7 linked regions of the Oryzias latipes genome follow. The protein of the gene in region 5 interacts with the protein of the main gene of each other region in a biochemical or structural test. Links are inferred from orthologs where the notes say so. Each region holds a gene or a part of one and is shown on either strand. Other genes may lie near its edges. The genes, in order: lrrk2, josd2, receptor tyrosine-protein kinase erbB-2, hsf1, stub1, ataxin-3 and bag1.

Evidence for each region.
Region 1: the proteins of stub1 (region 5) and lrrk2 form a complex in vitro, tested with the Homo sapiens proteins (3 studies listed by BioGRID and IntAct, with this or other methods). The link is inferred for Oryzias latipes from reciprocal best matches to the Homo sapiens genes STUB1 and LRRK2.
Region 2: the proteins of stub1 (region 5) and josd2 form a complex in vitro, tested with the Homo sapiens proteins (2 studies listed by BioGRID, with this or other methods). The link is inferred for Oryzias latipes from reciprocal best matches to the Homo sapiens genes STUB1 and JOSD2.
Region 3: the proteins of stub1 (region 5) and receptor tyrosine-protein kinase erbB-2 form a complex in vitro, tested with the Homo sapiens proteins (4 studies listed by BioGRID, with this or other methods). The link is inferred for Oryzias latipes from reciprocal best matches to the Homo sapiens genes STUB1 and ERBB2.
Region 4: the proteins of stub1 (region 5) and hsf1 form a complex in vitro, tested with the Homo sapiens proteins (2 studies listed by BioGRID, with this or other methods). The link is inferred for Oryzias latipes from reciprocal best matches to the Homo sapiens genes STUB1 and HSF1.
Region 6: of the proteins of stub1 (region 5) and ataxin-3, one has a biochemical effect on the other in vitro, tested with the Homo sapiens proteins (6 studies listed by BioGRID, with this or other methods). The link is inferred for Oryzias latipes from reciprocal best matches to the Homo sapiens genes STUB1 and ATXN3.
Region 7: of the proteins of stub1 (region 5) and bag1, one has a biochemical effect on the other in vitro, tested with the Homo sapiens proteins (3 studies listed by BioGRID, with this or other methods). The link is inferred for Oryzias latipes from reciprocal best matches to the Homo sapiens genes STUB1 and BAG1.

Annotation. Positions count from the first base shown.
Region 1 is NC_019864.2:2,156,222-2,159,721, reverse strand, and holds part of lrrk2 (leucine-rich repeat serine/threonine-protein kinase 2), read left to right. Parts: intron 1-1,913; coding exon 1,914-2,134; intron 2,135-2,209; coding exon 2,210-2,337; intron 2,338-2,418; coding exon 2,419-2,637; intron 2,638-2,719; coding exon 2,720-2,921; intron 2,922-3,500. UniProt on the Homo sapiens protein: Serine/threonine-protein kinase which phosphorylates a broad range of proteins involved in multiple processes such as neuronal plasticity, innate immunity, autophagy, and vesicle trafficking.
Region 2 is NC_019874.2:19,500,230-19,504,413, forward strand, and holds the start of josd2 (josephin-2), read right to left. Parts: upstream 2,801-4,184; 5' UTR 2,693-2,800; exon of another isoform or gene 2,569-2,692; intron 2,441-2,568; 5' UTR 2,434-2,440; coding exon 2,312-2,433; intron 1-2,311. UniProt on the Homo sapiens protein: Cleaves 'Lys-63'-linked poly-ubiquitin chains, and with lesser efficiency 'Lys-48'-linked poly-ubiquitin chains (in vitro). May act as a deubiquitinating enzyme.
Region 3 is NC_019877.2:7,422,762-7,426,705, forward strand, and holds the start of receptor tyrosine-protein kinase erbB-2, read right to left. Parts: upstream 2,801-3,944; 5' UTR 2,571-2,800; coding exon 2,498-2,570; intron 1-2,497. UniProt on the Homo sapiens protein: Protein tyrosine kinase that is part of several cell surface receptor complexes, but that apparently needs a coreceptor for ligand binding. Essential component of a neuregulin-receptor complex, although neuregulins do not interact with it alone.
Region 4 is NC_019869.2:4,836,101-4,839,600, reverse strand, and holds part of hsf1 (heat shock factor protein 1), read right to left. Parts: intron 3,455-3,500; coding exon 3,304-3,454; intron 2,037-3,303; coding exon 1,968-2,036; intron 220-1,967; coding exon 114-219; intron 1-113. UniProt on the Homo sapiens protein: Functions as a stress-inducible and DNA-binding transcription factor that plays a central role in the transcriptional activation of the heat shock response (HSR), leading to the expression of a large class of molecular chaperones, heat shock proteins (HSPs), that protect cells from cellular insult damage.
Region 5 is NC_019877.2:8,954,562-8,958,684, reverse strand, and holds the start of stub1 (E3 ubiquitin-protein ligase CHIP), read left to right. Parts: upstream 1-1,323; 5' UTR 1,324-1,594; intron 1,595-2,146; 5' UTR 2,147-2,263; coding exon 2,264-2,377; intron 2,378-2,470; coding exon 2,471-2,669; intron 2,670-4,123. UniProt on the Homo sapiens protein: E3 ubiquitin-protein ligase which targets misfolded chaperone substrates towards proteasomal degradation.
Region 6 is NC_019880.2:12,489,184-12,493,173, forward strand, and holds the start of ataxin-3, read right to left. Parts: upstream 2,801-3,990; 5' UTR 2,757-2,800; coding exon 2,712-2,756; intron 2,243-2,711; coding exon 2,078-2,242; intron 2,001-2,077; coding exon 1,956-2,000; intron 1,872-1,955; coding exon 1,786-1,871; intron 1,699-1,785; coding exon 1,632-1,698; intron 1,557-1,631; coding exon 1,469-1,556; intron 1,396-1,468; coding exon 1,266-1,395; intron 1,192-1,265; coding exon 1,034-1,191; intron 943-1,033; coding exon 786-942; intron 646-785; coding exon 590-645; intron 444-589; coding exon 397-443; 3' UTR 1-396. Other genes in the region: E3 ubiquitin-protein ligase UBR1, read left to right, coding at 2,907-2,951. UniProt on the Homo sapiens protein: Deubiquitinating enzyme involved in protein homeostasis maintenance, transcription, cytoskeleton regulation, myogenesis and degradation of misfolded chaperone substrates.
Region 7 is NC_019875.2:29,408,253-29,412,310, reverse strand, and holds bag1 (BAG family molecular chaperone regulator 1), read right to left. Parts: upstream 2,801-4,058; 5' UTR 2,707-2,800; coding exon 2,670-2,706; intron 2,158-2,669; coding exon 2,029-2,157; intron 1,737-2,028; coding exon 1,654-1,736; intron 1,583-1,653; coding exon 1,469-1,582; intron 1,386-1,468; coding exon 1,278-1,385; intron 1,191-1,277; coding exon 1,128-1,190; intron 1,042-1,127; coding exon 952-1,041; 3' UTR 453-951; downstream 1-452. UniProt on the Homo sapiens protein: Co-chaperone for HSP70 and HSC70 chaperone proteins. Acts as a nucleotide-exchange factor (NEF) promoting the release of ADP from the HSP70 and HSC70 proteins thereby triggering client/substrate protein release.

The sequences.
Region 1 (3,500 bases), on a different chromosome or scaffold from region 5:
GTATTTTCAATATTGCTTAATGTAGCTTCTCCAGTATTTCTAAACTGAATGATGCCTGAATGGTACTTCAAAAATAAAGGGGGGGGGGGGGGGGACACTAATTCTTTCCAGAAACAATGAAGTGATGATGATGAGGCAGCATGACAGGATGAAGGAGACGCTTTAATGTGGCTAAGAGGCTTTGTTTACATCACAGTCTGCTCTGCACCGCTGCAGCCACGCGTTCTTACACGCTGAAGTGAACTAGTAATGGTCATCGCCACGATGTTGTCCTTTTTTCACACATCACTCTGATCCATGAGGTCACTGAACCAGAATCCATTGCTGTGAGGTTCTGCAGAACTTTGGCCCGCTTTGCCGATAGCATTTTGGCCGATGCTCCGTGCATTAGAACCCGTTGTGCAGCTGCAGAGCTTCACTCGTTCTTATCTGAGCCGCTACATAGCACCACAATCCATGTTTTCATATGTTACTGGCAGAAACATGGCACAGAGTTTCGGTTCGGTACCCATTCTAAGTAAAAACTAAGTAGTGCATGTCTCATAAAAACAAAACAAGCTGCTCCTCGCTGAGATCGTGTAGTCTTGTGTGGTGTAGAGCTGCTCAAAGAGGCTCAGTGGGCTCTGCTACCAACTAGCGACAGAGGTTTAAGTGAAAAACAAGAGTCAGACGCTGAAGGATGCTCATAAATAATTAAATAAATATCGTCCTTATAGCATCAGGTGTCGCCAAATGAACTATTGCAATATATCACAGAAATTATTTTTTTCTAACACCTTTCCTGCACAAGCAGCCCTTTAGTGCTGTTAACAAGGTAAGTGTGCTTGTTGTGTGCAGCCTCACTGTTAGAAAAGAGGAAATTGGACATTAAGAATGTGTGTGCCCACATGCTATGGGCATGTAGGTATCACCTGTGCAGGATTTATGGTCGGCATGGAGAGAGTGCTTGCACTTCCCCAATGACTAGACTGTGGCATTGAGACGCTGTACGACAGCATCACCTACATGTCATAAGTGTGTGTAACTTACATTATTCTTACAAATACTTTTCAAAACACACTCCATACCCATACCAGGAGCATCTTCAGTGCCCTTACGATGCAGCTGCTCCACTCTACGACCCTCCACAAACCTGGACATTTCAAAAACCCGTTACAGTTCAACACCCGGACAGGTGCATTAAAAATAATGCTACATTCACACTTCACACCGGGCATGTGAGAACGCACTAAACGCACGTTCAGCATATGGCGTTCACACTGGAATGTCGCCATCTGATACTAGCACATGTAGTCACAGTTGGAAGAGGCTTTGTGTGAAATGTCAAAGCAGTGCCAATCTGGTGAATCTTGCTCCAGGCTTTTTCTTTCACAGCTCTATTCCGATGAATGAAAGACTCGCTGTCGTAGAATTCCAGCCGAACACAAACCACAATTATTAATTTCTCCTCCATGATCAATTTTGAAATGGTTGGTACTTCCGTGAATTAAAGGGGATGTCATCCAAACGACACTGCCAAATCCAAGATTGGTCAAAGTTTAGCCTGTTAACTTTCAATGCACGTTCAGTGTTTCAGATGTAGAGCCAGAAAATTGACTTAAAACCTTTGCAAGTTTTGAACTCAGAGACCTGAAACCGCCTCTATGCACGTTTACATAAGCTTTTCATTAAAGTGGTTGCCTGAATGCACGTTGCTGTGGGAGATATGACTGTAGCTTCAGTCTCAAGCTCCGCCTCCACTGAGCTAAAGGTTCATCTGAGTGCTGCACAACCTGAGCTGTGCCTCTCTAACCCAAACGTCCTCTCTGCTGGTGCATCATGTCTTGGTTAATGATAGATGTTTGGCCTCATGACATCTTGAACAGAATGCAGTGGAGTCAGATTTGCACCCCGTTTCTGGAATTGTTTTTCAGGTCCCTGCAGCAGCGACTAAAGAAGGCGGTGCCGTATCACAGAATGAAGCTCATAGTGGTGGGGAATCCCAGCAGCGGGAAGACCACGCTGATCCATCAACTGATGAAGCAGAAGCGCCAGTTGAACTCAAATCAGAATGCTGCAGGCATTAACGTCTTAGACTGGACCATCAAGGACCGGGATAAGAAGAAAATGGTGCTGAATGTTTGGGACTTCACAGGTTAGAAAACCTGCTCAAGTTGAGGGTAACTTTGCTTTGGAAGGCCAGTCAGGAGTCCCTTTCCATCCTTAACAGGGGGGGAAGAGTTCAGTGGCTCCCATCTTCACTTCCTCACTTCCAGGGCTGTCTACTTGGTGGTGTACAACCTCAGTAAAGGATCCAGTCAGGTGGATGCTCTCAAACCCTGGCTCTTCACTATTAAGGTACGGACAAAGTCAAGGTGCATGAATTTGGCTTGTTTTCCTTCAGGTCAGACACTCGCTGCTCTCGTCTGTTTACTTCAGGCGGTAGCACCGCTGTCTCCGGTCATCCTCGTGGGCACTCATGCAGACGTGAGCGATGAGCTGCACTTCCAGGACTGTCTGAAGAAAACCAGGGCAGAGCTGCTGAACCACCAGGGCTTTCCAGCAATCAGGGATCATCACATGGGCTACTTCTGTGAGGACTCCGACTCCATTGCCAATCTCCGCAAGGCTATCACAAGGGAGGTCACCAGCTTTAAGGTGGAGCAACGCAAACACAGGATGGAAGAGTTCAAATCACGTCTACCTCAACCCTGCTAATGTTTTCTGCTCTTTTTCACAGATCCAAGGCCAGCTTGTCATGGGCCAGCTGGTACCAGACAGCTATGTGGAGCTGGAGCGTAGAGTTCTTCTGGAGAGGACCAGAATCTCGCCAGAGTTCCCCGTCCTCAGGCGCTACCAGCTCCTCCAGCTCATCCAGGAGTGTCAGCTGCAGCTGGAGGAGGCGGAGCTTCCTCACGCCGTTCATTTCCTCAGTGAAGTCGGTCAGTAGGAGTGGAGCCTCGAAGATGCTCCTGCTTTGTCTGGAAATGATCCCTTCCTTTGCAAATACCCTTTTGGCACATTTACCAAAAGTCTACTTTTACGACCAGAAGTTAGCAATTGACTCGAATACAAATAAAGGTCAAGGGTGTGAGACACTCAAATTCGTATTATTAACCTCTTGTGTAAACCACTTCCATCATTACGTCACGTGTGTCTCATACTACCATCACACGGGGCTCGGAAACGCACGTTTGAGCGACTGATTCCAATGTGAAAGCATGCTTCAAACCCTCACTATTCAACAGTGCAACAGCTTTTCCTTTACCTTGCTCTTGTTCTGCTTGTTTATTCTATTTATTAAGAGTACCACAGTACCATTAACATTTTCAATACAACACATGTCCTCACATCTTAATGACTGGAAAGGAGCAGTGAGAAGAATGAAATTTCAGTTTTATTTCTGCCCCCGTATATTAAAGCTTACAGACCCATTCTGATGAAAATCTTTAGAAGTTCGTCTCTGAGTTGTGGGAGGGACCGTCAGCGTGGAGCAACCCCTTCCCCTGCTTCCCCTAACC
Region 2 (4,184 bases), on a different chromosome or scaffold from region 5:
TTATCCATTTAAATTCAGATGGAAGTTTTTGCAGAAAAAAAAAAAAAGATATGTACGCTCACTGGGCACTTTGTTAGGTACACCCATCCAACTGCCCGGTAACAAATTTGCACTGAGCCAATCACATGGCAGAAAGTCAATGCGTTTAGGCATTCATGGTCAACACAATCTGCTGCAGTTCAAGCCGAGGATCAGAATGTGGAAGAAAGGTGATTGTAGTGACTTTCAAAGTGACCTGCTAGGATTTTTACCTACAGTGATGAAAGTCAGGCAAGGAAAAAATCCCTGAACTTTTCTTTGAGCGATATGGCGGGCACAGAGCGAAATTTTGGAAAAATACGTGGTCTTAGATGCATTCTGGCAACTAGTTATTCACTTCTTTATCAAGAAACTAAGACTAATTGGAGCATCATGATTTGTCATTCAAACCCCTAGTTTGACTCTCCATTAAGGACTTGCTGGTCCTAAAAAAGAATTTGGAAAATTGCTCAAAGTAACACAATCCTACAATCTACGCTTTTCCTTAAAGCTGCAAAACATACAATTGCTAAAATATAGTAACATCAAAGCCCCAAATGGCAAAAAGAACACCAGTAACTATGATATTCTATGAAAATACCTCAGTTATTTATACATTATTTCTGCTTTAGAAATGACTGATGTACAACATCCACTTGCACTGTTTTCTCAAACTATAATTACATCAAAATATGGGATCTGCTTTAAACTATAATTCTATAACATAATACATCAATTCTTTAACACCAATACTAAGTAATCTGGGAAATATCAAAACAAACATACAAACTAAACTAAACATTGTAAACATTATTTTTTAAGGGAGTGCGGGTCCAAACCATCAAATACTTATAATTAATGTCAACTATACTGAACTAAATCATGGTAATTAGGAAATACAAATAAATTAGATAGAGAAATGTATTCAAAATAAAAACTGAAACTCAAAACTAAAATTGAAATTATTTCAAAATGTGGTTTTGAGATTATTTTACACAAAAAAGTATTTGACCTACACTACCTTAAAAATCTTTTTTTTCCAGCCAAGACCACTTCAATTTGTTTTTTATCGTCTTCTCACAACTGAGGTCGTGACCACGCTCAATAATGACGATGCCTGCCATTATTTTAACACAAATTTGATCGCAAACTCTTCAGATGTGTTTGTGAAAATTTAGCGTGGGTCCGCCAGTTTTGGTCTCTAGGGAAGCGAGTCACGCTGACCACGTGGTGCAGACAGAGCCAATCGGACCCGTCGACGCATCCGAAAGCAACTAAAACGTCCCGTCATTGGTCAATTAGGCCGGGAAGACGAGAGATGGCCACGACCATAGAGGAAGCGATCTGCTGAGAAATATAGAAAATAAAGCTAAAATTAGCTGATTTCAGACCATTTTTTAATCCGGAAAGCGATTTGTCCGTAGAGATCAGGTCTTTATTTCCCGGAAAGTACGTTCGGTTTGCTCAAAAACCCGGATTTCCGGGAATTCCCGGAAGACTTTCATCACTGTACCTACAACCATCTCTAGGGTTTGTAGGGAAAATATCCAGTGAGCAGCAGTTTTGTGGGTGGAAATGCCTTGTTGATGTCAGAAGAGAATGGCCAGACTGGTTCCAGCTGATAGGAAAGTAACAGTAACTCAAATAACCACTGGTTACCAAGTTCTGCAGAAGAGCATCTCTGAACGCACAACACGTCCAATCATGAGGCAGATGGGGTACAGCAGCAGAAGACCTCAACGGGTACCACTCCTGTCAGCTAAGAACAGGAAACTGATTCTAAAATCGTGCACCTTGCCTGGTATGATTAGTCTCCATTTCTGCAGCAACATTCAGATTGTAGTGTCAGAATTTGCCGTCAACAACACGAAAGCGTGGATCCATTCTGCCTTGTATCAACAGTTCAGGCTGGTGGTGGAGGTGTAATGGTGTGGGGGATCTTTTCTTTGCACACCTTGGAACCCTTAGTACCAGCTGAGCATGGTTCCAACACCACAGTCTTGTTGAATCTAAGCCACAAAGGTTTCAGGCAGTTGTGAAGGCAAAAGGGGGTCCAACACGGGACTAGCAAGTTGTACCACATAAAATTGGCCAGTAAGTGTAAATATTCAACTATGATGACCTGGGGAAATCGAGACTGTTTTTGTTTGTTTTGTTTTGTTTTAAGCCTTAAACACGAACATAAACAAGGAAACTACAAGTACCACACATTACAATACATCCAATGTGTTTCAATATATGCTTTTTTTTAAATTGAGAGAATGGGTACAAGATCATGTCAGCACGTTGTTACCGTTTACAGATGTCGTCAGCCGTCTCCTTGGTAAACACTCGCTCCTGAAGCACGTTGTTGAGCGCGTGAATGGCGCACAGCTCCAACCGTTGCTTCTCATGAAACACCTCGGCTTCGCTCATTCTATCGCTTTCCGTTTCAAACACAAAAACGTGGACGTCAACAAAACCAGAATACACACGTCACTCATGCTAGCTAGCATCAGATATAATATGAGAGGTTAGCACCAGCTAGTACAGTAGTTCTTATCTTCTTACCTGAAAAGAAGCTAACTATGACACCCTGGTGGAAGTTCACCAGCTGGCCGCTCAAAAAGTGGTTTAGAAAGTAGCAGCAGCGCGAACTATTGTCACGCCATTACAATGAAACGGAGCTCGTTACCTGCTGATAAAGCAAATCCACGTTTTATTGACGCTGGAGTCCGTCAGCTACATCCAGAAACCGGAAGCAGAGTCTTTGTCGTGTTGTTGTTCTACAAAAAACACGCCCCCATGCTTAAAGAGTCCCACAGAGCAACACCGAAACACGAATTTTCTTTTATTTACCAAGTACATATAGCACTAAATAAACGCAAAAAAATATTTCTGGTAGTCCGCGCGATTGTTTTTAATGTTTTTAAGCAGGTCAAAATAGCAATAATGTAAGCTTGCAACGTCATCTAGTGGCAGCTTTATTAATTTCAGTTGTGGCAGAGAGGAGGTGAAGACAGACTTTCAGATATTTTTTCTCTAAAAGAAAAACAATACACATTTATATTAAAAAATAAAACACGAAATATTTCATATGGATTATTGTCTTTCAACTTAAGAATTTTTTTGATGGAGAAATTACTTGTGATGATATTCATGAATGTTGATGATAATGTTACATTTTCCTAGAATGCAACATGTCTACTATATCTGTGATTGACTGGATAACATCATATTCAGTGAAAGCAAAACTGCTCTGAGCAGGAAATACTGTGTTCAATCCAAGAGATACAAGTTGATAGCCATTACAAAGGCAGCAAAATGTAAGATGAAACTCCATTGTTGAACCTTTCTGTTTTGAGTGAACACATTTCAGCCATACAGGACCAATGAAAGGAGAGATATTCATAGAACAATATTTAATAACAAATTAGATAATTTGAAGATGCCATGAGCACTCCATCAGTTATTTTTTAGTCTGATATTGTGTCAGATGTTGCTATTCTGAACCTTTTACAAATCTTTTAATGTATGTTATGTGTTGAATTTAGAACTGAAGTTGTTCTTTGTCAAAATTGTTGAATGTTAGTGTATCATGTTCTGATTTTTTTTAAAGTTATGTCTGTTGTCTCATTTACAGTGATTTCTGTTGAGCTTTGTAGAATGGTAATAAAAAGACCTTCTTATCCTCTCCTACCTTCCTTTTGAGATTAAAAAAAAACCCTGTTTTATCTACATTGTCTCTATCAATGTTGTGTCCAAATTGGTTACCATTCCCAGTTATATGTTTGATTTTTGCACAAGAGGTCCTGAGGACACTATTGGGTTATCTGTTTGTGTGCTATTTTGCATTTGGCGCTGTTTCTTCCTTCATAAATGCACAGGAAACTTTGAGATGTACAAAGACCTGCATAACATTTTTTAAAGATTTCTCACAGAACATAAGCCAGTTTTGAGTACAATGTTTCAAAATCAAATTGTGCAAAAACAAGCATTAGATCACAGCAATGCTAAAATAGCGTTCTATTGTCTGATAGTTGCGGGGTTTGTTTTTATGTTCATAGATATTTAGGACACACCACTAAATTATTGGTATTTGTATGATGGACAGTCATTTAATATTATTATTGGCCTACAATTTTTTTTGTTAGTCCAAAATCCTGCTCCAAAACCAGGAAAGCTGT
Region 3 (3,944 bases), about 1.5 Mb from region 5:
TCACAATATTGAATACTAATATTGCAAGTTTTCCTCATATCATGCAGACCTACAGTCAATGTAGTTTACCAACATTGAGCTAAAACAATTTGACAGATTTCTGAGTACTGTGTATCATAGAAATTCAGTTCCAGGTCAAAAGAACAAATAAATTCCTACAGACCGACAATATTTTGGGAAACTGAAGGCATAAAAATGTGCATCAAAGTCATATAAATATGATATTTTTTAACCTTTGGATCTATATGAAGACAACAAGGAGAGACCCAAGAGCTTCAAGCCTTCAAGATATTTATGAAGCATCCACACCACTGACTATTATTAGTGAACGCATCACAGTCCTCTTTTTAAATTTAGCTGCTCCAATGCCGGGTCTGAACATGAGAGTTGAGCTTATGGGAAACCATTCATGCACAAAATCTTTAAAAAAAAAACACACACACGCACATTTTGCATACATGCAATAAAATAACACTGACATGCAAACATTTTATGTAGGGTAAGGGCAATTTGAGCATTTTATACAAATAATGACAACATATAATATAGACAAATCTCCCTCCAAGTAAAAAAGCATTTTAGATATAACCTGAGCTGAAGTGAGAACTTTAGTGTGATTATTGGTAAAGTCTTTGATAAGAAATTCTAAATTTTGATAGGATTCATTACAATTGATTAAATGTCATTTTACTGGTCAAATTTTTGTTTTAAAATAAGTTGTTTAGTGATGAAGTGACCAAAAGTAAAACCTTTGATCATAATATTGTGAAATCTCACAATAGAAACGAATAAATTTGATACATTTTTCCAGATAATTTGTGATACATTCTTATAAAAAGAATTAAATCGAGGAATTTCATATTTTTGAATTGTCTTTTTAATTGAAACAAATTGATCTTCAAACACAGCCTTTAAAAGGTTTACATGAAAAAAATGATAGTGTCTTAGTGTTAAATGCCCAGGTTAAGATGCAAAATAATATTAAAACAATAAGATGCTTGATTGGTTGAATTAAAAGTTTTTTATTGCCAAAAAACGGACGTTCCTCTGAAAAACATGAGGGTGAGCGGAGCCTTTTTAGAGAACGACCATCCTGATCTCAGTCAGAGTGGGTCAGGTCACTAACAGTCTAGACGGGCAGAGTTAACCTGCAACTAGCGTCAATTCAAATAGACTTTGCCTTGAGGTGCGCTAAAATATGACAAGGGCGTGAACTGTGCGTCCACTGAGGCAATCGCCTCACACCAAGGATCCTGCATAGAGGGGCTGTGCACACGTGTGAGTGACATAACAAATGAAAGTAAGAAGGCTGGAAGTCAACACTTGGGCATAACATGTTGCTTAACTCTGGGAACCAGTCAGAGCACTCCGGCACAGGTCCGATGCTTCAGAGATCAACACTGCAGACTAAAGTGCACCAACCTGTTCCCCCCAACAATGCTGTCGCGTTCAGAAATGACTTCACCTGTGACTACTGGCTTTGTTCCTGCGTGTGTCCGATTAGTGGTAGTGCTTCGGGGGCAGCTAATAAAACAGGAGTATTGTTTGTGCTCTAAGGATTTCGTCTTTCAACTTAATTGAGCTGGAAATTGGTAATCAAAGTCCAAAAAAAAAAATTCATGGCTCTTTTTGTTGTTTTTAACCCCAAAAACTGGCAATTTAATAAAGTCTGCACATAGTCTCAGTCTGTGCAAAGGTTTTACATGTTTATTGATATTGCTAAATCCTCCTAGAACAGATATTAAACTAGTTCATAATAATAATCATGAAAACTGTGGTTTTCTTGCAGAAATAAAAAATGATATTGGAGTTTTTCAAATCTGACTCCTTTTCTTCGACTTTATATAATTGGTATATGAAATGTGAAAAACAATGAAACAAATAGTTTAGAGCGGTGCTACTTTCTGCAACATGAAGAAATCCAAAAACTCCTCAGGTTTGGCTTTAAACAAAAGAAATCTTGATTTGCATTTTGCAAATTTGCTCTTATTTGCACTTTCAGTTAGTTAGCTCTTACTTTACTGGCATGCACTCCAAGCTCCAAGTGTGATAAGTGGCCCTCTATCAGACAATGTCCCCTTAGGAGCCAGAAGTGAATAATTGACATAGTCATGATGATCTTCTGCACACAGAGCTTTTGTTTGTTTGTTTGTTTGTTGTTTACCAACACTGCTCTGCTGCATCTCAACACCAGTTCTCGAGTTTATTGCCCAACTATGTGGCTTTAACTCTCTTTATTCAATTTAGTGTAAGTTTGTAATTGAAATTCAAACTGAAAGCTTTTAGCGAAGCTACTTTTTGACAGGTGGGAATTTTGTCCTTATCTGCGCTCCATAACTCCCATGAATCTCCGCAGGGAGGACGAAATCACGTACGAGGAATGCAGGAACCCGCGTCGACTTCACACTTCACGTCCACACGAACACAACTCGAACGGGGTCTAGTATGTCCGCGTTCCCAAACCGTGAGAGCGCAAAAGACGACAAAAGTCACCCACCTTCTCCGCCCAAAACGCCCGGCACTCCGAGCAGAACGGCTCCGATAAACACCAAACTTCTCGCGGCTTCCATCTGCTCGCACCCGGCGCGTTTAGTCCATATTCCAGAGTTAGGTCTGTCTAATATTCGTTGTAGCCGACAAAAAAAACACAATAGGTCTTTTCCTTCTTAAAATATTAGACCTTAAAATAATAGCAGCTTTAATCTCGACTCCCTTAGTGAAATTGCTGCCCTTCTTCCTATCCACGGAGACTTCCGAACTCGGACTGTTGGTAGTAACAGTGTGACAAGCGCGCTCCCGTGAAGGCCTGCGCGAGGAGTGGCACTCTGACTCCGCCCACAATCACAGATTTCTGTCTGCAGACCTCAAACTCACTACACGCTTATCAATGTGACATTAAAGACTGTAATGCATGGATTCCTTCTGTCATACAAATATATATATGTTTATTTATTTATTGGTCAAATTTATGTATCCTACTCAAACATGTTTTTTTTCCAACTGAAATGTATCTGAAAAGTGTTCTAAACGCTCATCTTTATGAGGCTGTAGCTTTGAGCATCATGTTAGAACACTGCCAAAAGAACTTAAAGTTCTCTAAAATAAAAATGTGCTGAAGTGTTTAAAAATCATTTTTGTTGGAACAACAAAATAAAATAAAAACTTCCACACCATAATACTACTACCTTCACCAACTTGGCACCTTGCATTTTCAATGGTAGATCTTCCTGGCACCCCAGAATCCCAGAAGGTATCAAATGCAGATTTTTAAATTTATTTGAATTTAAATCATAACATATGGGAAATAGTCAATATTTCAGGACTTTTTTTTCTCCAAATTTTCCATGATACAAGAAATACCAAAAAATTAGATCAGACTGTCTTTGTCAACAAACTTCAAGATGTTGGATTATGTTGTAATTATTGTTGTTTATGGAGGATTTAGCAGTAGCATCTCAAGGAGATGCTTGATCCTGTGAGATGTTCTCAGGCTTGTTATCCTTTTTGTTTTCAGTCTATTGGGGGCTAACATTTCTTGTGCTTTGTCCAAAAAACCCCCCCACATATATGTATTTACACACAGACACGCACACAATACAATTTTCCTGCTCTATTTCCAAACTTTCCCCAAGTGCATAGACTCATACATCTCTGTATCTCACCATTTACTGATTCACTAGAGTGGCTAAACTTTCATAATGACTTCTGGAACAAATTTAAAGAAATCTTCAGTGGGCAAGCAATGGAAGAAAAAAATGTATCTCTAAACAAGTTGAAAATACAGAAAAGTAGAAGTTCTTTTCTTGTTATAAGGGAAAACAAATTTGACATTGGAACTAGAAGAACTTGTTTTGGTAAAATTTCTTAAAATAAATTGTGATGTAATAACCTTTTAAGACAAATTGTTTATGTATATTTCACTGGTAATAGGAAATATTGCATTT
Region 4 (3,500 bases), on a different chromosome or scaffold from region 5:
ATGATATGTTCACGATTTATTGTGCAGTTTAAAGAAGAAGAAGAGAAGAAAAAGAAAACAAAGAGAATAATCATATTAGCATGAACAAAAGTATATGGGATGGCCATACTGACCTCCATGAGTGGAGAGGTGTCGAAGGTGAAGGTCTGAGCGTTTAAAATGGTCTGAAGGTTGTCCAAAGTGTTGTCAATATTGTCGACGTGATCAGAAAGTTCAGATCTGAGAGACAGACAGGAGGGGGATCAGCGTTAGCTTTCAGAGTCGGTCTGGTGTTATTCTACATTTTTCTTTTCGTCAACATTGATTCAAACCAGCAATGTGTCTCCTAAAGCTGCCCAAATTCGCGTTTGTCTCTTAATTTTTTTACCTCTCCTGGTCAAACAAAGAAAAAGCTAAATTACAAGCATCACAATAACACAAAAAAACAAAAAAGAACAGCAGACACTCGAACATCAGTCCTCAACGTGGGATTTTTCTTTATCATCTTTAAAACATTCTGGCATTGGATGGTCTACCTAAAAGCACAAAGTCTGGTCTGATCTCTCACATGATGATAAAAAGAAAAAAGTAAATTCCACCAGTCATATTAACAGAACCCCATTCTAGTTGACTTTAATCATCAGAGACTGTATCCAAAAGAAAACGTGCAGCTGCTGCGACCCGATTCAGCGTCAAATTACGACTTACTGTAGTTTGGAAATTATCGGTTACTTGGAGCAGCAAGAAATGAATCCTTGTGAGAATATGTGAAAAGTCTGTGCATAGGTGATGGAATAGTTAAGTTGATCACAAGGCAGCCCTTACCCAGAATTCAACACCCGACAGACTCCAAACCACACCCACACCACTGACTCAGTTTCTCAGCTTCCTTCTGGACGACCTTGTTCCCCGTGTGAAAACAGCAATATCCTGGTTTCAGGAGCAAATCTGTCCGTGTTCCCAACAAAGTTTAACCTGACTGACCTCCTGAGTTCTCCAATGATTTTAGCCTCCATTCTAAGAAATACTGATATCACAAGAAAGTTCAACTCTATGCAGATGACACCCAACCCTTTTCTGTAACCGCACAACTTTTAAAGATCCACTCTGATCATCTTTTGATCTATTTTCAAAGGGTTTCCTGTAGTCTTTCAATCTTCATTTTGTAGATTTTACCCCAAAATTTAAAAATAATAAATAAATCTGTTCCTAGGTCATAATTTCTGCTAAGAGGCAATAATTCATTAGATAAAAAAGATATTTTACAACCTGCATTTTTTCATCTGCTTCTGATTCACAACAATTCGACAATAGAAATACTCAGAAATTCAGTTTTAACCTCAATTTGCTTAATATCTGTCCTCCATCATTGGAAAAAATTCCACAAGAATATGTTAAAAACACCAAAAACACTATGTTCACTGGGTCTTTAATTTTTTTTAATGGATTTACAGAAATTAAGCGATTATTTCTCACTGAGGAATTGTCTTTGACAAAACTAAACCAGTTTTTTTCTTTTAGGTTTAGAGCCTGAAGGGTTTGATGAACAACCTGCTTTCCGACTGCTAAATAAAACAACATAGTTTGTTCCATTCATTTTCATTAATACACAACCAATCATCTTCATCTACTCCTCTTTTCTCCTTGTGTTTAATAGCTTTGGTTTATAGTTCCATCTGTTTTAGAAGCCTTGAATTATTTATTTTCCCGATCTTTAAATCCTGCCCTAAAAACCATTTTTTACAAGCAATTGTATCAGCTTTGATCTCTAAAAAGGTGTCCAACTTTAGTGACAATTGACTATAATTTAGTTTGTGGCTCTGCTATTTATTTTACGATCTTTTTAAAAGGTACCTAAAGTATGAATTGCTGCTAATATTCTTCACAATAACAGGCACCAACGACTAAAAACCCAAACTGCGTTTTGCAGTCCCAGGTGCCACTCTCCTCCTTTAAACACAGTCTGTGATATTCCTTTAAAGATTCACTTGTCAGGTTGTGTCGGTACGATGCGCCAAAGCTCAGGTGGGAGTCCACCTGCAGGGGGAGGGAGGAATCTGAGGGAAGCACAAACATTTTTTTATTACACCGACAAGCTTCAAAGGGACATTTATGTGATGTGACAAAATGTAATCCTAACAACGATTACCTCACACAGCAATTTGTAAATACCGTATTTTCACGACCATAGGGCGCACCAGATGGTAGGTCGCAGTCTCAGTCACGGGGGATTTTTCCGTCTTTGACACATACAAAAGGCGTGTTAAGGCCCGGGCACGTTAACGCCCCGTTCAGACCCTCAGCGCTTCTAGAGTGGGTTCATAAAACATCCAGTCTCTGTTCTTTAGAGGAAACCTTTTTTTTTGTTACTGTTCTCCCTAACTGAATAACACAAACTGAATGGTCACTCACTTGCGCGCTCTTGTCCCCCTTCCTCCTTATCCTACACAAGCGCTAAAGACACACAGCGCACACACATACCCACACACACACACACGCTCCGCCAGTCTCCATTTCTCCTCCTATGCGCTGGCGAAAACAGCAGCTTTAAGCCACACACACACACACACACACACACACTTAATGTGTGTTTACAAAAAAAACAGTGGGAGCAAATCTGAGTTAGTTTTTTTTTCCTCTGCGTAGCTGATAGCTGCAGTTCAAACAGGTGCTCAGCCATCTTGTTAACAAGTGGGGGGACCCGGGCCTTAGCCCCGCCCATGGCCACTAAGACTCATGGGAAGTGTTTATTCCCACACCTTGAGTTAGGTGGCTGTGAAGAGAAGTGACCATCATGTTGTTATGCTGAAAATTTGTCAACTTCTTTGAGCAACCTGCTTCACTTCATGCCCCTCCCTTACTGGATAGATTGAAGGTTATCATGTAGAAGAAGCAGGTACAGTCTTAAATTGCAAATAGTAATACTGCAGTTATGTTCCACTTGGCCTTTACATCTCTCTCCCTTCCTCACTCCATCTTCTTCTACGACCCACAACTACACATCAGGCGCGATGCCTCATAGGGCGCCCCCTGCTGGCGGAAGAAAATGTATGACTTTTAAGTGCGCCTTGTAGTCGTGAAAATACGGTAATACAGAATTTGCAGACTAAAAATGTGGGATTTTGTAATGCCGGAAAAAACACTGAAGTCACTGGGGCAAGAAGCAGTTTTTTTTGGAAGTTAGGAAACATCTACCAGAAATATTGATTCTAAGGGAACTGTCAGAGCTGCTGCTGCTGTGAGGTTACTGTCCAAGAATCACCCAAAGATCAGCTGTAGACGCGTGAAGCCACAGGCTCACTTTGAGCCTGATGTGACACTTACCTGTTGATGCAGGCGATTGTCTGACACTTCTGCTGAGGCGTGGCCGGGCCGGAACCGGCGCTGTGGGGTGTAACGGGGGCAGACGGCTGGCTGGCTGGGGAGGGCTGGACAGGGTCGGCGGAGGCGGGGCTTGTTACAACAACTGAAGCGGCTACGACAAACAAAGTCTTAGGTCAGTCCGAGGGAACATATGTAGG
Region 5 (4,123 bases):
ACACAGTGATGCAATGGTAATTCATAATATTGTACTAAACTACTTAATAACAGATTACATTAAAGATTTGACTCACATTTAAAAAAACGAGTAGCCCGATGATGCCATCTTCTGGCCAATACACTAGATTTCCTGTGCTGATCTTTTACAAGTGCAATGAGAAACCACCCAGTTGTCTTTTTCTGTATCTTGGTGTGTAAAATTGGTAGTTCAACTGCAAAAAATGCAAATATTTCTGATCATATTTTTTAAAATAACTCCTCTTTACACATTTCAGATTTGTATAAACGTCTCAAACAACCTCAGGTAAACCCATCTTTCCATTTCTTGCTCTCATATTTTTGCTTATTCAGATTTAAATGAGTGATTGTAAAGATGCATAAAAATAACAGGAAATATTTAGGTGTGGCTTCATTTCATTTTCAAACCATATTTGAGAAAAAAATACTTTTCTGAATGTTAAAAAATATATACGTTTTTTTTTTTCAATTACATTTTTATGCTTACAGCAGCATAAAAGCATAAAAAACGCAGTCTGCCCTGGACAGACTGGCGACCTGTCCAGGGCATCCCCTGCCTACGCCAAAGTAGCCGAGATAGGCTCCGGCAGCCCCGTGACCCCGAAAGGGACAAAGCGATACAGAAAAAAAATGAATTTTTATGCTTCTCTTAACATAAGCAAAGTCTCATGTTAAAATTTGGCATCAAGCTAATATAAAAAGTGAAAAATGAGTAAAGACATAAAAAGCACCAAATCAAATAGAACAGATTTATCATCTTCAATGCTTTTGGATTAGTGCAATAACAGAAGTTTAAGGAAGACAAAATAATAATAATAAATTATTTCCATTAATATCAATTATTTTACTAATAATTTCGAATCAGATATAAACAAACACTTTTATTTGATAGGGTGTTGTTATAGTATTTTGTCTAACGTAATGTAAGGTCAGTACCTATTTTCTATACAACTAACCATCACTCAGAGATAAGGTGTGGTTACTTGTATCAGTAGTCAGCTATGTTAGTTCTAACCACTAGCACTGATACCAGGGTCTTCTCACATATAGAAGGCCCCTGTTTCACGTTGTTTGCATGCTCTTCTCACAGCTCCAATGACCCTCTATGATTAATTTAGGATTAAAGATAAAGGGCTGGCATTCTATAAAGCCAAATTATGAGAGCAGTCCCAATACAGATGAGGGTTTGTTCCCACAGTACTTTTACAGAAATGAGCACAGAAACTTTACATTGTTATGATACTTGAAGATAACCTCTGCGCAAACTCCCATCAGGATTCGTGTGCTCTCGGCTTCCGTTGTTAGAGCGTAAAGCGTTTGACGTCAGCACCACAACATTCCGTCTTGACAGTTCGTACGGGTGGTAAAAATAATCCGTAACGATTTTATATCAAACTAAATTAAATCTGTTTGAGCTGAATGTAAAATTTCTGATTAAAGGTAAGGGTGGGTACTATGTAAAACTTTATTTAAGCCTCCAACAAACTGAAACGGACGTGAAGCAACTGTAATGCAAAAAGGCTAAGCTAGCACTAGCTAGTTTATGTTTTTTGAAGAAACCGAGCTGCGTTGTGGTAAATATTGAAATCCTTGAACAAGTAGTTATGGTTTTACTATCCTCTGCTTCAATTCACCAGAATCTACCCTAAATTAAATGTCAATAAAATTGATTAGAGACACAAAAGCTGTACTATGTCCCCAAACAAAATAATTTCAAGATAAAAGCTTAGCTAATTTTAGCATAGCATCGATTCTCCTCCTCTGTTTGTTTGTAAGTTAGCAATCTTATTTTTGTGTTTCTTGTCGTGTAACAATAATATACAATTTTTCGTTAACTTAAATATATTATCTTGTATCTGGTGTTTTTACTCGAAACCTGAGTGGATGTGTAAATTAATGGTTCTGGATTTTTTTTAAATAGCTGTGCTCGCTGATGGCCATCGATTTCCGAATGTGAATAGTTAATTCGCCGGCAGTCTAGCTGTGATTTTCAGCGGCGTGCACTGTCAGCAAACCCGAATGAATGCATTCTGAGCGGCACCAAGCAGCAGCGTTGCGCCGAGAGATCGTTGAAGAAGCAGCGCATTGCAGGTGCATCGCTAACTCAGCACGCGCCTGTGTTTTAGTGTGTGAGATCCAAGCCGGACGGGACGTTCTGAAAACCTGTTGTCTAGCCAGCCGAAGAGACGGGGAACAGGATAGGGAAACAGGGCGAAGCGGGCCCCGCGGAGCCGGTGGAGAAGATGGCCGGCAGCCCGGAGAAGAGTTCCACCGCGCAGGAGTTCAAGGAGCAGGGGAACCGGCTTTTCCTCTGCCGCAAGTACCAGGATGCTGCCTCTTGCTATAGTAAAGCTATTGTAAGCGTCTGGGATTTCTCATCCAAACACTAATGGCGAAGACTAAACAGTTTGCGCGTAAATACTCTTTATTTTCCCCATTGTGTCTTCCAGAACCGCAATCCATCAGTGGCAGTATACTACACCAACAGGGCCCTCTGCCACGTGAAGCTGCAGCAGTATGACAAGGCTCTGACAGATTGTAAGCATGCACTGGAGCTGGATAGTCAGTCTGTTAAAGCCCACTTCTTCCTGGGCCAGTGTCACCTGGAGCTGGAGAACTACGATGAGGCAATCGGCAATTTGCAAAAAGGTCAGAAACTAGTTTGATTTTTCTCTCCTAGCCGTTCGTGTCGGGTTTTCTTAATCATAACACCAGAACAAAGGATCACAACCTTTAGGTGTTGAAGATGGATCAGTTCACTTGTGCTTTTATTGTGGGATTCTAACAAAAAAGAATTTTCTGTGGGGATGAGAAAATCAAACTTGCACATGTTCTTAAAGGCACCAGCAGTTACAAATCAATGCATTTACCTTAAAACCAGAGCATTTCATCAACTTTAGGTACATTAAGAAGAAAATGACAAAATAAAAAGTATCAAAAACTGTAACGGATTATTTTTGCAAAGGTTTCCTGAACCTTCAAATGTATCAGACAAATGTAAGTCCATATGCAATCATGGTAGTTAATCTGTCCAAGCATATTAACAGAAAATAGAGTGGAAAGAAAAAAGACTTTCAACAGAGAAAATCCATGCAAAATTCTGATTTATTTCACCATCATCAGAGTTAGACGTTTTTTTTTGTTTTTTGTTTTTTACCTGGGCTCATTAGAAAAGAACCAGACAGATGCTTAGTGGTCCAAAAGTAAAGGTTGTATTTCATTTGGAGACGCACAGACCCGATGTTGCCTGAAGGGTCTTGTGAAGCTTCCACAGTCAGGGATGATGTAGGTCCATGTTTTTTTGAAGTCTACACAAAGTTCTGTAGCACTTCATGCTGCCTTTTGGTGTTGAGCTCATTGGAGCTGCAGATTCAATTTTCCTGCAGGACATGGGGCCCGCCCACTCTGCCAAAAGAACCAAAAGCTGGTTCAATTAATAGTATTACTGTGGCTGATAGCACATTCCCCTGACCTGAACCCTATTATGAATCTATTGTCTCTTGTTTGGAGGAAGATGAGACACCAGACTCAATAATGCAGATAATGTGAAGGCAGCACATAGAAACCTCCATTACTTCTACATAGAGCCACACGCTTCATATCCTCAGTGCATTGATGCAGTGATTCACATAGAGGAGCCCTAACCAAGCTAAGTGATAGAAATGAAGGCATTTGAACATTTAGGTTGTAAACATCTTTTTCTATTATTTTGATGATAAAAGCTAATATTCTGACACATTCTATTATTTAGATTAATTATCTTCAACGTTACAATAAATCAATGCTCGACATATTTCAATCAATTATATGCCGTTTACCATTTAATTTGTGTGTATAAATGTATGTTTGTGTGTGTGTGTGTGTGTGCGTGCGTGCTTGGGTTTTGATCATATTGTGATTTATTTGTCTTGCTGCAGTTTTGGGTTTGGATTCAGCACAGATAACTTTTGTAGTGATTAAGAGCAGAATTACATGTTTATTGTCTCACTACGCTGTTACACACGCCTGCAAACATACAATTCTTACATTGGTCTTGTTTGTCTCTGTGCCGTGTCAAGTGTTAAAAAATGGGCAGATGATCTCTGTCTAAAGTGAATCCTATT
Region 6 (3,990 bases), on a different chromosome or scaffold from region 5:
ATCCAACTTCATAAAAGTTAACCCATTTTTCATTCATTTTCTCTTTATGTTTTCAAAAAAAATTAAGACAACAAAAACCAGAATGTAAAGAAATAGAAGGCTCTATGGTAAAATAAAAAAAGGCCATTGAAAACTTGGAATAACTACATTATGAGTCATTTTTAAGTCCAGCGATCACCCTTTTCCCCCATCTCTGTACCACACTGAGGTCTGATTTGACCAAGTGCTGCCTTTCCCTTGCCCATCAGCAAACCCAGCGAAGGAAACCATGTGTCGGCCTTCTGGCTGCAGTATGTTTGCGTTTGCAAAAGGTTAGAGAATGGAGAGAAGCCAACCCCTGTACAGGGTTTCAAGTTCAGAGCGTTGGTAGACAAAAGCAGCAAAGCTTTCACAACTTTATTTGGTGTCTTTTTCTTGTTGGTCCTCCATAGAGTTGGATTTTTCTGGTGTTAGGGGCAAAAAATGGATACTTGGGTTATTGTTCTGACATGAAAATAATATCTACATTTTCATTCTGATATGCAAAAAACTGTATATAATGGGTGTTATACATATAGGGTGTTTTGAATTTTAAATAGAGTTTACTCACCAGAGTCACTGGTTGCATGACTTTCTAACTGTCGTGGAATGCTTGGTTGTGCTTGCCTGAAAGATAATACGAAAGTCTGGTTCATAAGGCACATTTCTCCTTTCTGCTCACTAAAAAAAGACCTTTGAACATGTGTACACATATTACTGAAAGTTTTTTTTTTTGTTAAATTCAAGTTTTACAGATCAAATCCTACCGATCAAAATAAGCTTGTCTCCTCTTCCTCAGCTCCTCAGCAGTAAGTGTCTCATTCTGGCCTGGTTTATCTCCACATGTAGAACTCTGTACAGTCCGTTTTTCGGATTTCACATTTCCCACATCAGACTCTGAAGATTTGTTACTCATGCCTGATCCTAGTTAAAGGAAAAACGTCAAAAAAAGGGTTAAAAAATTCCAATATAATAAAATATTTTCAAATCAGCCTGGAGCTTTGAAATGGCACACCTTGCATGCTGAGCTGAATGGCCCTGCGAAGGTCAGCTTCTTCATCTTCCACATCCATTTCCTGTCTGCTGAGTGCCAGAGCTCTCTTTAGTTCTTCATCGTCATCCACAGCCTCATCTGATACAACGTCCATTTGCCCCCGAGCAACGGATCTGCTTCTAAAAACAGACATGTATTATGTCCAAACAAGACCTAATGTAATCCAAGCGAGGACCATTTTCCACAAACCTACCCTGAACTTGTCTGAGCCTCATCCTCTCCAATTAGCCTGGGCCGTTGCTGTTGTTGAACCCGCATTATTCCGAGAATCTGCTCTGCTTCACATTCGGGAAGATTCCCTTGGATCACAAATATGGAATATCCTGCAGAAATACATTATTTTTGTATTTGTGTACCAAAAGGTGCAATAGTGTAAACAAGTCGGCTTTACAATACCTTCTTGTTGTAGCTGTGCCAGGAAAAGAGCTAAATATGTGTCTGATATCAGCTCTGGTCCAGTCAAGAGTGAATTCAAGTTAAACCACTGTAATAATAATTAAATAAGTAAATTAAGCATCAACACACGTATTGAAAAGTAAAAAAATAAAAATCGACATACCTGTTGTCCAAGCTTGCGTATGGTGAACCAATGCTCCTTATAATTGCAAATGAAGGCCTTCTCGTTTCTTAAAGGCAAAGACATCAAGTCAGGATTTAAATGTGGGTGTGGGATCGACTTGCTATACAAGGAAGTCTTGAAAATACAACTTTACATTGGATTTATCATCAAGCTCTGGTACTCCCGGCTATTGAAGAGAATTAACTCCAATCCCCACACTCGGAGAGCATTGCTAATTACCTATAAAAATCAGTCATAAGGAGTGATAAGACAATCTTGTAAAGTTGATTGCTAATGATCATATGACAAAGCACATAAACATACTTGTATTGAAAAGAATCCGCTGTCGTCCATGTTTCCAGATGGCTGCTATAAAGTTATTATTAAAACAGTTGTTTAAATACATGTACCACTGCAGAAAACATCTGTTACCTGTCCCCACTTACCTGTAAGAAGGTCCTGTACTCTTCACTACCCATACCTCCTTCTGCCATTCTCATTCTCTCCTCTTCGTCAAGCTGATGAGCAATTGAGGACAGGTCTACAGGGGTAAAATACTCCCCCTGCAAAAGGTTGTTGAGGCAGTGCTGGGCACATAAGGAACCCTCTTGCTGAAAACAAAGAATAACTGCGTAAACGTATTGAGAAAAAAAAAGGTCTCCACTTTTTCAAAATGGAGTGCAAAAACTTACAAAACCTTGGAGATAGATTATACAAAAAGCTAAAGCAACTACAAAAAAATAAATAAAAAATAAATAATGTTTCAAACATCTAAACAACGAGCAACATACAACTTTAGTATCCTTTTTCTTTAATAATTATTGGTGGAGTCGAAGTGTACAATAAATACCGCAAACTCGTTTTCTAACTTCATTCTATTAGCTTTTAAAGAAACTTAACAACACCTGGTTAGCAAGTGAGTTAGCATTAGCAGTCTGAATAAAGCCAAAATAACATTAGATTGAAGCTAGCACCGGCTAAACACAAACTCTAAATAAATGCTAAGTGTCTTTACTCTCTCCGACTACACACGAGTAAAGGCGTTCAGTTTAATGTCACAAGTAAATTGTTTAAACCTACTTTTTCATGAAATATGGAATCCATGTTTAGATTTCTGTCAAACATTCAACTTTGACCCCTACTCCTGTAAAGATGGGAACCAATCTCTATTAGCGCCCTCTATGGATCATTTTGGAGTACAACCTCGCTCCGTTCCAACAACCGAAAGGATATTGGTCACACAGGAAACCCCCCTCCTTTTTCGGCAAATGAAATATGGCAGAGAGTAAGAAACACCTTGACGGACTGGAGCTCAGTAAGGTATGGCGTTGCAAATTAAAAACTGACAGTTATTACCGAGATTCGGATATTTGACACGTACGCGTGGGGTTATAAAATGCTACACAGAAAACGGGCTCAACGCGCAGTGACGGTCCTAAAGCTAGCAGGCAGAAGCTGGAAACGGCTAACCGCTTTACTAGCTTAGAGATGCTACAAAACAGGTTTATTTTTCGGTATTGTTTAGCATCAGCGATTTGAATCTTCGTCAGAAACGCGATCTGTTTGCAGATGTGTAGGTCAATCTGATATTTTAGTACTTAGTTTTGTCCAAAACCCCGTTTTACGAGTTTTAAACACTGAGCATCAGTCCTGTTTTTTTGAAGAATTTAGTGAAAAAAAGTTGTATCTTTCGAAAAATGAATGTGAAACTGAACATTTATTACGAACCATAATTTTATCGTTTAAATTTTCACAATGATCCTGCCAACTATTTACATCCCGATTTGTTGAGCTAATCTTCCTTCACACTAACTTATCATTGGACTTTTATTATAAAGTTTATTATATCCTAAAAGGAAAGCAGATTTGGAGAATTCAGTAACAATGTTCTAGCTTTTCTATATACACATGATCATATGTTGTCTGTAGTTCAAGGCACTAAAGACTAGAAAGTAGGGGTGTAACGTTAAATTTTAACCATGATTTGATTCATATCATTATATTTTTTAGTTGCTGATATGATTCATAGGTGATATTGGTTCATTTTGAACGATACGATTTATAGACTGAAAATCGATTCAGGACATTTTAGCCAAAAAATCAACCAGTGTGTGACTCGGTGATAAATACCTGGGTACTGTAGAGCAGGTGAAGGATTCTCCTGCAAGAATGTGTAAATTAAATAAATAATAAAGTGTGAATTAAATATGTGTACAAGCAAACAAGTGAACAGGGATTAATGGCAAATCCATTGACATTTTAGTTTCCTAAAGTTCAGCCCACAACAAAATAATCTAAACAGAACATTATTAGAACATTCTACCACACTTTATGGTCACATGTCTTTGTAAAAAGTGTT
Region 7 (4,058 bases), on a different chromosome or scaffold from region 5:
AGGAGCCAAAGGCCATCATCGATCAAAAAGATCTAAGGATGGAACTCCTGGAGCGAACGGTGGATGACTTGGCGCCGTGTTCCAGAGCGGATGACCTTGCGATCACAGGGTCTCTTGGGTTGATTTCAAGCGTCATTTTTTTTCGCCTGCTCCTGATTCACAACAAGTTGAATAAAGAAATCCTCAGATTTGCAATTTAAGCTGAATTTCTTTTAAATATTTGTCCTCCATCATCAGAAAAATGCCCCAAGAAGAGGTTAAAGAAACACACCAGTTTCCCCAGAGTGGGTCTTTCCATTAAGCTCACTGTATAAAAGGATGGGCGATGGGAAGTGGGGGCTGGCTTACTCTGATTTTGGCTAAAAATGGCATCATCATTAAGGAATGCTGGGAAAATCGATCAGAAGATGATGGGAGCGGGACTTCAGAAATAAACGTCCAAACATTGGAGATCTGTCTTTTTGGCTTAAAATTTATTCATTTTTCTGCAGTCGTCGTGATTTTGATGAACATGTACAGTAGAAGTCAGTTGATGATGATGTGATTTGCCTAATTTGACTTTCTCCTTTTTTTATAACAAAAATACAACTCTGTAAATTCACAAACCTCTTCAAGTTGACGTGGTGGAAACATCTAAAGAGGGTTCACTTACTTCTGTGGATCAGGCTGGCGGCGACCGAGAGGAACAGCTGAAGGCCGATGGGAGGAAAACGCCACAGGACAGACGGAGGATTTGATCTACGGTAAACATCAAAGCACCACCGACGCTCCAGTCCATGTCTGAGTCTGAGACGCATCTTCACCTACGGCTGACCCTCATGATCTCAGCAAAGTCTCCTTTCGTTATGAAGCACATCACACCGAGAAATAAATAAAATCTGCTCCACATCTGAAGCCGTTGGTACACTTTGCTCACAGAGCAACAGATAGCACACAGTAAGGGAAGCAGCTTCAGTCTGCCAGAGCCAAGTTCTTGGACTGGGTCTTTGATAGGTGGTCTGATATACCCGCCTCCAGCCTGTCGCACTGGGCCAGGAAGTCCTGAGGCCACGAAAAACAGAAAAATAGGAGTCAATTTTTTTTAGCGTCGTCAGTAAAAGCAGAAAAAAAGAAACCTACTGGCTAACCTGCACGGTTTTTATGAGGCCCCTTTTCTTCACTCTGAAGTCGTTAAAATTCTCCGGGACAGACTTTAGAGGAAAGAGAGAGAGAGAGAGGAGTGTGTTAGAAATGACCAACACTCGAGGGATAAAAAGCTCAATCCAAAAAGAGATTACTATGGCGTCTATCTGCTCCAGAATCTTCATGAACTGCTCAGCAGCAACTTTAACTCTCTGGTCAAGTTTGCTCAAAGCCTCAGCTTGGAGGTCTTTGGCCAAGAAGCCCTGCAGAGCAAAGAAAAGAGGTGAAACCTCAAAGAAACGACCCATCTGACGATGCTTTTCTCCCTCCAGGATCTGTGGCTCACGTTCTTCAGTCCCGTCAACTCCCCGTCCACCTTCTCCAGCTTCTTGGCGGTCACTTCCACCGACTTCTCAATGTCTTTCAGCTTCTTCAGCTCAGCTTCTTCCTCCGGACTGTTCTGTTTGTACAGCGTTGTCAGTGGGATGTGCGCACGCCAACTCAATCAGGGGCGGCGCCCGAGCGTCTTACCCGTTTCCCGATCATCATGAGTTTGCAGCCGTCTTTGATCCCGTAGGTGGAAAGCCTCTCGTCCATCTCTTTCAGAGACTTCCCTGAAGAAAGAAGAATATGTTAGCAAAAAATTGCAGACGCACCAAGTCAAAGAAAATACAGAAATAAAGATTTGGTCTTCCTTATGTATAGTTTTTAGCAAATTAAAGAAACTGGTAACCACGACAACCGTTTTTGTCTGCATCACCACGACACTGCAACAACGCTCAGCTGGTTGATCACTTTAGATCTTCGTTTTCAGAAACTATCACAATGCCGCGACATGGAGTCAAGGCCTAATTATGGGATGCATTCAAAAAAAAAAAAAAAAAAGAATGTAGGTCAAACCCAAACCTTTGAAGATGAGTTTTTGAGAGGCGGGGGGAACGCCGGTGGCCTGACAGACAGCTTCTGATAAATCCTTCACTGCCGGCCCGTTGCCGTCATCTGGACTCGTTAGTTTGATGTTGTGTTTTACTGAACCTGATCAACAGACATTCATGCAGTTGTCATAACGTTGTGAACATAAATAAAACAGGTTTGTGTGAATTCATATCGCCAAACCTCAGTTGTGAAGCCAACAAAAATTAATCAATTACAATTTATTTCATTTAAAATCTGTAATGAAGTGAGACTTCTTGAAAGTTTATTATAATCAAACCCATTTGTAGAGTCTGATCCTCATTAGTCTTTTGATTTGAACCTTTTTTCTGCTATTTTTAGCATTTGATGACACGTTATATTTGTTATGAATCCACAATTAAAAATGAACATAATTCGAATTTTGAGCAGACAGGTAAAGCAGTTTGCTGAGACATTCAATGCCTAACAGTAAATAGTTCATTTCACATCATGATCAGCAGAAGTTTTTCCTAGAACCGGTTTTTGCGTTTGGGCTACACAACAACAAGCAAAGGATTTCTGAGCTACAGTCACATCTAAGACTCGGAGCCGCTTCAGTCTCCGTTTGTTTAAAATTCAAAACGTTTTCTTACCGTAGTTGACTATCAGGTTTATCGTTTGATCAGACATGTCTTTGTGTTTGTTCTTCAACCTCAACACAAGTCACCCGGCTATCTCCGCTAACAGCTAACTACTTCCGGTCAGCACCGGAAATGACGGACTGATTTTCCGCTGCATTTCAAAAGGTCCTTTTTATCCATATACATACGTATAAATATATAGAGACAGATTTAAAAAATAATGTCGAAGCGTGTTTTTCTGTTTGAATGTTTGATCCTTAAACTTTCCAACGCCGACAGTCAGTCACGAATGTTGAAAATTTTGCTTTCTATGCAGACCTTGACTCGACCAACCGGCTCTGTGGCGCAATGGATAGCGCATTGGACTTCTAGCTAAATCGATCAAAAGAGATTCAAAGGTTGTGGGTTCGAGTCCCACCAGAGTCGCACTTTTTTACTTTTACAGTTTATGCGCCTCAAATACTGCGTTAACTACAAACACGTGATGCATTGTGGGAAAAGGACAGCGCCCGTAAGTCGATATAAAGTTTCCAACTTTCATAACACACACCCTGAAGTTGCAAGTTCGAGCCCCGCTTGGAACGTGTGCGATTTTGGAGGTTTTATGTCGGCCTCGTGGCTTTCATGATCTCTTCTGCCATGTGTGAAATATGCATGCCTAATAGTATATGACATTTGTTACTAACGGAAATATACACTAAATTAAACTTTGGAGATTTTGCACATTAAAACATCATAATGGTCTATTTAATGTACTACAGCAGAATAACATAAAATAAATTATTTATGTGAAAAATACAGATGTATTGACAATATTAAAAAATCTGACTGTTGATTTAAAAGATGAACACACATAAATAACTTTTTAATTGTTAGATTAAAGGGGATTTACTTGTTATTTTACTACACGTTTCCATTAGCGGAAAAACACAGCTGGTTTACCTACAACGGAGGACATCTAGTATAAACCACCAAATGAAAAATACCTTTAGCACCTGCAACAGGTAACCCCATCAGCAAAAATGTGTGATTTGATTGGAAATCAATTCCAAGAATTAGCGAGCTTGAACTCTATCAACAAGCAGCTTTTGCAGAGTGGATGTCTAAATAAATCGTTGACAAGAGATTCAAAGATTGTAAGTTCGAGTCCCTCTAGACTCTAGAGACAAGGTATTTTGTTTTCTATATATGTATATGCCCTTACACGTCCAATTTAACTACAAAAATGAAATGCATTGTGGGAAACAATGTCCAGTCCATGTTCTTTTGGTTTAAAGAAACGGCGTGCGCTCAGTTTTTAACTCTATTTGCAAATAGTAACTCACTGTTTACTATAGTGGATGGAGATCTACTGCAGGAAATTACTACTTACTCTTTGTAAAAATAGTAAATATTTATTAT